Linked DNA regions of Yarrowia lipolytica. The protein of the gene in region 2 interacts with the protein of the main gene of each other region in a pairwise test. Links are inferred from orthologs where the notes say so. Each region holds a gene or a part of one and is shown on either strand. Other genes may lie near its edges. The genes, in order: YALI1_F26039g, YALI1_E39924g and YALI1_B28830g.

Region 1 (3,426 bases), on a different chromosome or scaffold from region 2:
TCTCTCAACTCCTGGCCTGGTCGTGGCTGAGCTGGTTGGGCAGGGGCTGTCGGAGATGTTCTGGGAATACCCTTGATGGCCTGAAAGAGTGCGTTGTTCTTAAGCTGATTAGCAGACCGCGTGGAGGTTGGCTTGGCTGTTGCAGCTTTTTTCACTCCTCCAGCTGATGCGACTCTCTTGGCTGACCGTGGAGAGCTGGCCGAGCCTGGAGGCGCCGAAATCCGGCTTCTCAGCGCGTTGGCTTTTGGCTATGTTAGTAGTGAAATAGTAAAATGGGCGCGAGTATCGACCTGACTTCACCTGACTGACTGGGTGCGCGGATATCATGTTGATGATCATGACTTCTTTCGAATCATGACACGGCTGATCTGAAGGGTCTAGAACATTTCACCAATATTCTATCAACCGTTCTGGGCACGAAAAAGGGCATCCCAGGGTCCAGACCTAGTCTGGGTCGCTTTAACCCCGAGTGTTGTTCGTATCTTCCATCCTGTTCGTCCTTATCGCATGTGGTCGTCTCATTGTCGCCCGTGGTCGTGGTTCTCTGTTCTCACCTGTTTTGACGAAGCTGCGTTAGTACGGATCACTTGTAGCATTGCAAGTTAGTGCTGAGGCATTGAGTGGCTCGAAATGCAGAGTCCTGGCCCATATATACTCACACATGTGTCGTTGCACTAAAGAAGACCGATAGTTGCAGAATTGAGATGCTGTTGGCGACTTTTTGATTTTGCTGCACGAGATGCTTGTAGTTGTACCCTTTAAAAGTTTGTTTCAGACGAGACGGTGAAGGGAGGACTTACTGAAAAGGATGGAGCAGAGTATGCTGGGAGAGGTGAGAGAGGGTGGAAATAAATTCACCCGACTTAAACAACCTGTCTGGGAAGTTTGCGGTCTATTTATACCAGAGATTCCAGTATTTTGTTCACTTTCCATTGCCGTTATGGCCACGTTTGGCGGCTGTTCATCTGACACCTTGTCAAATAAATGGCTGCCTGCCCACTCTGTTCAGAAGGTTACAACGACACTGGGAGCCAGCAACAAAAACGATTTGTGAGCACAATACGAGATGCAGCATTGATTATGCTGACCAAAGCACCCCCAGAGAGCGTACTTTGCCGCAGGAACCGAACTGTCCTTCGTACTCATACCAGAAGTGGATACAAGAATACAGACATATTTGCAAGTACAGAACGTCTAAGTACCTGTCCATACTGTACATCCTGTACATGTAGGTTGGACACGGCTGTGAACAGTGAAACTGAATGTACAAGGGCCCTGTAGGAAACAAGTGTGGAATAGCAAAGTAACGAGATATGATGGTTGTGATGACAGTAGGTATAAAAGTTCGGCGCCACCTATAACAGAACTGTCATCGGAATGTGTCTCTGATCATCTCTGCTTGTCCTTCCTACAGTATTCGTACACCGCGCGCATAGTGCATAGTGCACGTGTTCTAAGTAAAGATAAGTAAATGGCCAAGTATCCACGTAACTGGCAAAGAGAATTTCAGACCATAATTTTACACCGAAACAGACAGCTCTTCCTTACTACAATAAAGTACGAGCATTGTACTGTACTGTACTTACTGGAATATCAACTATTGCCCTCAATTCAAGTCACGATTAGAAATACTCTTGGACTAAAATTGTTCATCAAATATCCTCTGCCCTCAGGTTTTGTGAATGAGCGTTTAGATGTTGGAGTGTCTAATTACGTCATCAAGGTTGCCTATACCTACCAACCATTTCCTCCACATGATACCCTCCTCCTCACATCACACACTCTATGTAACACCTCGTATCTATATAATCTGCATCTCCCCCCCGTTTATCCCCCTTGGAAACCCCACATCAGCTCATCTCCCCCTGAGCACCTTTTCCTCGTCACATGCACCTCCCAATCGCTCCTATGTTGTGGTCCCCCACGGCAAATTACCCTAACCCCGGTCTATATCCCAACATGGCCGACATCATAATGGTCCTTATCCATTACAGACAACCATGCCGCCCAAAAAGAGAACCATGCTGAAGGTCGTCATCCTCGGCGACTCCGGCGTTGGTAAGTCGTCGTTGATGTAAGTATACCAACACAAAGCGCAGTCTGCTGGGCCCCCTGGTTGATGTGCTACCATGGCAACCTTTCGTCGACTCAAACGGTTGTTGGGCAACAAAATCGTCATTGGGATTATGCCACAGATGAAGAGAAGACAGAGATGGGGAGCAACGAATGACATCGTTTCCCACAGCTTGATTCGCTTTCTTCCACCTACTATCAGATACTAACCAAGGCAACAGTACGTCAACAACAAGTTCAGCACACAATACAAGGCCACGATCGGAGCCGACTTTCTCAACAAAGAGCTGACTCTCGAGGGCCGAAAAGTCAACATGCAAATCTGGGACACGGCCGGTCAGGAACGGTTCCAATCCCTCGGTCTGGCTTTCTACCGAGGCGCCGACTGTTGCGTTCTGGTCTACGATGTCAACAACTCCAAGAGTTTTGATGCCCTGACTCTGTGGCGAGATGAGTTCCTTCTCCTTGCCAACCCCCGAGACCCAGAAAACTTTCCTTTTGTGGTGATCGGTAACAAGGTGGATGTGGAGGAGAGCAAGCGGGCAGTTTCCGCCAAGCGAGCCCAGGCCTTCTGCAAGGCAACCGGCAACATTCCCTATTTTGAGACCAGTGCCAAGGAGGACACTGGTGTAGACCAGGCTTTCGAGACCGTTGCTCGAAACGCCATGGCACAGGTGGACTCAGAGGACTACACGGACGATTTCGCCGACACCATCAACATCCATCTGGATAATGAGCAGTCCAACTGTGCTTGTTAAGAAGTATTTATCGCAGGGGCACGTATGTTAATATATTAGAGGTTAGGATGGGATTTTGTGTACGGTAGCTAGATGAGCTGTAGACGACGTTCATGGCTCCTTCGGTTTAACCACTGTACACTGTGCAACGGACAAGGTGGTTACAAGAGCCTACCCTACTCGTACCATACTTGTTCAGGAAGAACTTGTCACTTCCAATTACATATGGCTGAATAATAAATAATGCAATAACTTATATGATCTTATTGTTTTGCGGCTCAATCGTGCTCACGCCGTTCTCCGACACGACCAACAACATTGGACTTCAGATACGACTTTCGCTTGCACAGACTGGTCCACCGTCTTCTTCTCCAAGTACCCCTGAATCCGTCGGGAAGAATGTCATAGACCCACTTTTCGTCCTGGTCAATCTCGAGGTACTTGCGCCAGGCACCCCACCAAGCTACCCACTGTTCAGGCATGTAGTCCATTTCCCAATCGGACGACCGCGGTAGAGAAGATAGCATATCTCTCTCAGGGACCTCCAGGAAGGTCCATCCTGTAGGAGGTAGAACTTCCTCTAACGAATAAACTCCTGGGGGCGCAGGGATCTGAT
Region 2 (3,750 bases):
CCAGACTTATCGGCGTAAGCCACGTGGGTGATCCAGTCGGGGACCGTCTCGTGGGATCTCAGACCCAGAATGGCGTGTGTACCTCTGGTCTCAGGCAATTCCTTGCAGACATTGCTGACAAGGTCAGCGGCACCGGGATCGAGACCAAGGAAGGGGTCGTCGATGAGCAGAAGCTCGGGATGCTTCATGAGAGCCTTGGCGATTCGAGATCGCCGGGTCTGCCCGTTGGAAAGAGCTCCAAACCATCGATCACCAATTTGGTCCAGCTCCAACATCTTCAGCAACTGGGGAATGTCGTCCATCGCGGTTGCGGGATCACGGGAGGCTCGCTTGAGCTCCTCGATGAGAGTCATGTCGAACTCGTCCTTGAAGAACTCATATCGAGCTGACAAGTGACCCATGTTGATTGATCCTCGGAACTCCAGCGTCTGGATGACTTGGCTGGGAACCCGTTTTTTCTTGAGGAAAGGGTACTGCCGGCCCAGAGGTGGATCTGATACATGTTTGGCGGCCAGAATGGACATCAATTGCGACTTTCGAGGTCCACTGATGACCCATTTCTCATCCGGGTTGATTGTCAGCGAAATGGGATTGGGGAAAATGTAAGGGTTGGATCCTGACGAGGCCAGGGCCCCAATCATGCGGAACTTCGCGTCTTTTATCGATATCAGCGGCAATCGAGTCATTTCACTGTCGTTGTGATGTTTCGAGAAGGATGAATTTGACTCTTACTTATCACTGGTCTAGAGCCGTATAAGGTTGCCTAAACATGTACTCAATAATCTGGTGTGGGGGGTTGAATGTGGGGGTACTGGATGTGGGGGTGGAGAAGACAAAAGCACTCGGCATCGAAGAGTCAGCTTGAAATCGGTGTTATTCATATCCAATCGTCGCATGTAGTTTCCTAAATAGGACCTCTAAAGCCGCAGTACATATCCATCAGAACGGTGGAACGTTACTTTTTTCTGATCAAAAGTGAAAATTCAGAGGGAAATGATTCTCAAGCCATGGTTAAGGCAGGTTATGAGAAATTTATCTGGAGAGAGGGAAGAACAAAAACAATAGGAACGCCATAGTTTCTAGCAATTGTCCCACTCTTTCCCTATCGTTATGTGCTCTATATCGACTCTGCTCGCCTCGTATCAATACAGTACAAGTACCTGCAATGGTATCGTACTCGTATGGCTAAAATTACGAGGATACGATCATGATGATGGTAACCGCAGCAACAACTCAGCTCCCAGGAGACACACATGAGTACTGCTGAGAATATGCACGTGCTGTTACGATGGCCACGCAATCATCAATAAACGATATGAACGTATACAACTTATCAATTCACCCAGATAAACACTCAATTGTCTCACTGATCACAGGCTAACTCTTTCAGTCGCACTGCCGCACTCACACCTCCAAGCCTTGTGTGGCTATTAACATCCCTGATTCTGCATGACGGGTGTCCCAACCGTGCAACCATGCATGGCCACGTAGCGATATGGCGAATCTAGAGATGAGTCGCTACACTATGATGAGAGCTGGGGAGGCGGGTACCTGTCATGATTAAACGACAACTGACTCTACCTCCCTACCATAGCTTGTACTTTATAGTGTCACCTTCCACGGAAAGACCTAACCCAGATTGCACTAGTAACCAAATCCGGGTAACGCAACCCTAATCAACCACGTCCCTTAAGCAACACCTTACGCTAGCCTTCGTGGAACCTCTCTCTTGAACCCTTCTTATACAACAACCCACATATCATCATGGACGAAAAATACGACGTCATTGTGCTCGGCACGGGCCTTACCGAGTGCATTCTCTCCGGTATCCTATCCGTCGAGGGCAAGAAGGTGTTGCACATTGACCGGCAGGACCACTACGGTGGAGAGTCTGCTTCTCTCAACCTTACCCAGCTCTACAAGAAGTTCAGACCTGGCAAGGAGGACACCAAGCCCGACGGACTGGGCCGAGACCGAGACTGGAACGTGGATCTGATCCCTAAATTCCTCATGGCCAATGGAGAGCTTTCCAACATTCTGGTGCACACCAACGTGACCCGATACATCGACTTTAAGCAGATTTCCGGCTCCTTCGTTTTCCGATCTGGAAAGATCGCCAAGGTGCCCTCCAACCGATCGGAGGCCATTAACTCTTCTCTCATGGGTATGTTTGAGAAGCGACGACTTGCCAAGTTCCTCGAGTTCGTCGGAGGCTACAAGGAGGACGATCTCGCCACCCACCAGGGCCTCAAGCTCGACACCAACACCATGTCCGAGGTCTACCTCAAGTTTGGTCTTGAGACCGGCACTCGGGACTTTGTGGGCCACTCTATGGCTCTGTGGACCAACGACGACTACCTCAAGCAGCCTGCTCGAGAGACCGTGGAGCGAATCGCCCTCTACCTCAACTCCATGGCCCGATACGGAAAGTCTCCTTACATCTACCCCGTCTACGGTCTGGGTGAGCTGCCCCAGGGTTTTGCCCGTCTCTCCGCCATCTACGGAGGTACCTTCATGCTTAACAAGCCCGTTGACGAGATTGTCTACGGTGAGGACGGCAAGGTGACTGGTGTCAAGTCTGAGGGCGAGGTTGCTTCCGCTCCCATTGTCATCGGTGATCCCACCTACTTCCCTGAGAAGGTCAAGAAGACTGGCCAGAAGGTTATCCGAGCCATGTGCATTTTGGACCACCCCGTGCCCAACACTGGCAACCTGGACTCTGTTCAGATCATCATCCCCCAGAACCAGGTCCAGCGAAAGAACGACATTTATATTGCTGTCATGTCTTCTGCCCACAACGTCTGCGCCAAGGACCACTACCTGGCCATTGTCTCCACCATCATCGAGACCGACAAGCCCCACATTGAGCTTGAGCCTGCCTTCAACCTGCTGGGTCCCCGAAAGGAGACCCTGATGGGCATTGCCGACATCTACGAGCCCATCGAGGATGGCACCAAGGACGGAGTCTTCATCTCCAAGTCCTACGACTCGTCTTCGCATTTCGAGTCGACCACTGACGATGTCAAGGACATTTATTTCCGCCTGACTGGCCAGCCCCTGGTGGTCAAGCCCCGACCCGAGAACGAGGAGGATGAGAGCGCTATTAGAGCCGAGTAAGCTGCATGTCTGTAATGATAATATATTGAAATGAGTGATTATGCATGATATTATGTAATCTTACTTAGGGAATTGCAGAGTAGATAACTGCGAATATAAGATAAATTGATGACTCGTTAATGTTAAGTAAACGCATACGCAACCCAGACCCCATCCTACACACTCGCACAGTGTTAACCAACCAAATAAATTAATTACAACGCCTAGAATAAAAAGTATTAACCAGGCTCTAGAGTGCCTGATTAAGTTGTTCATCTCATGCTGTATGGTCCGGTATCTCGGCCCATTAAGCTAGCAGGAGACATGCCGGGTCGACCGCCGCGACCAGGTTTTCGCCGAGTTTGAGGCTGGAACTGGAAGTCGGGGTTGCCCGAAAGCAAGAGATCGTGCTTATTGCCATGACCAGGTCCCCCGCCACCATAAGGAGGTCGAGGACCCATATTGGGAGGAGGACCACCCATGTTGTGGCCACCCATGTTGTGGCCACCCATGTTGGGACCACCCATTCCCATATGAGGTGGGGGTCCTCGCATATGAGGAGGAGGAGGAGCTCCTTGGTGGAGGCCTCCTGGAGGTCCATCAGCCCCGAAGTATCGGGGGTTGATACCCCGCTGGGACACTGATGTGAAATTG
Region 3 (3,393 bases), on a different chromosome or scaffold from region 2:
TAAAATTGCAATCCTCTATGAACTGGATACAACCGTTCCTCAGGGAAGTCCCGTCTTCCTTACAATGTATTTGACAGGATGAAATTCCTGAAGCAGAAATGTTTCCTGTTTAAGCAGAATCAGATATCTCGCCTTTTTATCCTCCTCACTTCTGTATTCTCGCACTTTTCTCCAATTTCTTACATTTTTTGAACCCCCCCCCCCCCCCCCCCATTCAACCCCAGAAACAATGGGCCTCGGCTCACCCAGTTCACCAACCAAGGGATATATGGAACCCGACTACTGCAAAACAGTCTGAAACACGCTATATCCTAACTACGAGTACATAGTGTTAGCCAAGTCCAGAACAATTCGCGTGTCCCCAATACATGTCTTATGCACGATCCGCATGGATAAAGCCCCCATTTATAAACGAATACGAGGAGATTACGACAGGTCAGAGATGTGCAATCGAACTACGAGATTGCCGTATAAATTGTGAGCCAACAGACCAGGTATTACCCATGACTAAGACACAACTGACACGCTGGGCAGTTGATATATTCTTCATCAAGTGGACCTAAACCATTAGCGCGTGAAAGCTACAAGGGTACGACCATTGGTCTTGTTGACACTAGGTGGAGGAAACAGTATTGACAGAATTGCTGGAAAAGAGTAACACAGGTTTACGTACCAATGTGTGGTGTACGAGTGCCTCATTCCTGTTGAGTTGTTGAAAACGTGGACTTTCTCGCCATGTCAGGGAGATGCAGCAGGGTCCTTGGGTAATATACAACCTCATAAGTACATACTGTAGTCTTAGACTAACTGATGAACCCTTGGATTACTGCCTGTACGAATACAAACACGACTATTTGTACCCTTGTATGTTCCGAAGATCTAAAGCATGTCTCGAGGGCGGCACATCCAGGGGTAGGGGTGAACCAACAGTTTAGCGACGAGCACATTCCAAGTCTTTTACTGTAAATTTACTGCATCGTCAATAGAATGTGCTACTAGACTTGCAACTTGACTTGGGCCGTAGTATATGCTGAAGAGATGGACCGGACAGGGCACTTGTTTGAGAGCGAGGACCAACACACGTATAAACAGAGCTAGATATAAACATCTGCAGTAATCTATTGTATAGAGACGTTTCCATAGTCAAAATACAGACACATTTCAGTCTAATTTCCATGAAACAAGTGTCTCTTGCCGGCAGTAAGAGTTCGGTTGGTTTGCACCCATGCACCCAACAGATAGTCTAGATCTGCTGAGTAACGACTGAGGAGCAGATAAAAACTGGTTTAGACTGAAAAAATGATATGGAGGCTGTTGCAATCTCGACTCTAGACGACATTACAACGGCACATCAACTGTCAAGGGTAGCCGAGGGTCGGTTGTAGTTGCCGAGGTGTACAGTGAAATCGACGTGCAATGGAGCTCTTTCGTAAAAATACACGTCACCAATGACTTCAAGGGAGATTACTGTATCAGTCCATATTATCCATATATCATGCCCCAAGTTTTTCTCACGTAAACACCTTCCCGTTGTGCGTGTACGAGTAGTACGCGTAGTACGAAATAGTTTGCACACAGGTGCCACAATGGACTAATAATACTCGTAATATAGCGTGCTTGTATAAACACAACAAGTCTTATTTATTGTGCCCACACCTTCCGCTTCCGCTTCCGCTTCCAGGCCTATGTCTACAAGTACGATACTTGTAGGTCTCTCTCATGTCTCCTTTCATATCGCTCAAGTTTCGTTCTCCCAACAGTCCGTATGAGCAGCCTAATCTGTCTGCCAACGGTGCACACGTGATCAGGAGTCTTGTAGACGGAGTGTGTTTTCCGCAGTAATGACGCCACAGAAAAAATTCAAACTGGAATCAACTCGCAGAAATTTGGAGGTGTCCATTCCACTCTTCAGAATTGGCCATGCCCGTTTCACAGAACACCTCAGCCCTAATCACAAGACCCACAACCTTAACCGGTACAAACCCTAACCCCCACACATGCAGTGAGTTGTCACCACCCAGAGGGACATGACGGACTAACAGGTTGTGATAATATCAGGGTGAAGCACAGAACGGCGATTTGAGCTACCGAAAAGCGAAGCAAAGACACGAAACAAGTCACACAAACCCGCGACTTTTGCCACCCGACAGTTTCACCGTTACAAGACACGCTTCCACCGCCCCAGATAGTCGCACAGAACCACTAAGATGACCGAAACAGGACAAATCCAAAAGTTCAAACTTGTCATTGTGGGCGAGCAGAGTGTGGGAAAAACGTCGCTGATCACGCGAATCATGTACGACAAGTTTGACCAGAACTACGAGGCAACCATCGGCATCCAGTTTCTGTCCAAACCCATGTATCTGCCCGATCGAACCATCCGGCTGCAGTTATGGGACACTGCGGGCCAGGAGCGGTTCCGATCTCTGGTGCCAGCATACATCCGAGATAGTCACATTGCCATTGTTGTGTACGCCATCGACTCGCGCAAGTCGTTTGTGGACGTGGACAAGTGGATTGAGGACGTCAAGGCCGAGCGAGGAAATCAAGTGGTGCTCATGCTAGTTGGAAACAAGAGCGATCTGGAGGAGTCACGAGAGGTGACGACCGAGGAGGGACAGGAAAAGGCCAAGCAGTACGACGCGCTGTTTCTGGAGACGTCGGCCAAGGCTGGCCACAATGTCAAGTCGATTCTCAACAAGGTGGCGTCCGAGCTGCCCGGTCTCGAGACGGCTCTCAAGACCGACCAGAGCGAGCTGATTGACGTGAATATTACAAACGAGCCTGAGCAGGACAGCTGCTCGTGTTAGACAGGCTGTGGAGGATAAGAGTATTATGACACTGAGCATGGATGTAAGTAAATAGGTGAAATTAATTTAACGACAGAGGTGTGGAAGACTGGGTGCTTCAGCCAGTAAAAACGATATCGTAAAACAATCTACCGTGTCGCGCTCTCCCTGCACATGCGTTATAGACATCAGGGGCTCAGGGGTTACAGGTGGAGTATCTGCAGTCTAGAACTTGCTGTAGATGTTCCGATTGTCTAGGAACACCCATGATTCTCCTTCAGTATGAGTATTCAGATGGATATATATGACGCGTTCTCTTCAAAAGCCTCCCCCGACAGAGAGTGCTCAAGACCCTAGAGTCCTGTGCAGTATGTACCAAGTACTGTATCTACTGTACCTACTGTACTCGTATCAGAGGTATCTCATGAACCATCTGACAGAAATATGGATTCTGAAAGGGGCCAGCTTCACATACACATCATACCGTCTATCCAGGAGCCCCTGGAGACTACAAGTAGGTGTAGTAGCTACTTGTAGTAGAGGGAAGGCCTTGAAGTACGGTAGAACATAAGATGAATGACCTTGTTACTCTAGCATATGGACA

Evidence for each region.
Region 1: the proteins of YALI1_E39924g (region 2) and YALI1_F26039g interact in binary tests that used the Saccharomyces cerevisiae proteins (3 or more experiments, as listed by UniProt). The link is inferred for Yarrowia lipolytica from reciprocal best matches to the Saccharomyces cerevisiae genes GDI1 and YPT7.
Region 3: the proteins of YALI1_E39924g (region 2) and YALI1_B28830g interact in binary tests that used the Saccharomyces cerevisiae proteins (3 or more experiments, as listed by UniProt). The link is inferred for Yarrowia lipolytica from reciprocal best matches to the Saccharomyces cerevisiae genes GDI1 and YPT6.

Annotation. Positions count from the first base shown.
Region 1 is NC_090775.1:2,602,764-2,606,189, reverse strand, and holds YALI1_F26039g (uncharacterized protein), read left to right. Parts: upstream 1-2,000; coding exon 2,001-2,074; intron 2,075-2,287; coding exon 2,288-2,831; downstream 2,832-3,426. Other genes in the region: YALI1_F26058g (uncharacterized protein), read right to left, coding at 1-248, 310-339; YALI1_F26012g (uncharacterized protein), read right to left, coding at 3,089-3,426. UniProt on the Saccharomyces cerevisiae protein: Ypt/Rab-type GTPases are key regulators of membrane trafficking and intracellular vesicular transport.
Region 2 is NC_090774.1:3,990,404-3,994,153, reverse strand, and holds YALI1_E39924g (uncharacterized protein), read left to right. Parts: upstream 1-1,764; coding exon 1,765-3,117; downstream 3,118-3,750. Other genes in the region: YALI1_E39934g (uncharacterized protein), read right to left, coding at 1-686; YALI1_E39886g (uncharacterized protein), read right to left, coding at 3,369-3,750. UniProt on the Saccharomyces cerevisiae protein: Regulates the GDP/GTP exchange reaction of SEC4 by inhibiting the dissociation of GDP from it, and the subsequent binding of GTP to SEC4. Plays an essential role in the yeast secretory pathway.
Region 3 is NC_090771.1:2,881,040-2,884,432, forward strand, and holds YALI1_B28830g (uncharacterized protein), read left to right. Parts: upstream 1-1,997; coding exon 1,998-2,002; intron 2,003-2,065; coding exon 2,066-2,149; intron 2,150-2,197; coding exon 2,198-2,810; downstream 2,811-3,393. UniProt on the Saccharomyces cerevisiae protein: Protein transport. Might participate in post-Golgi transport.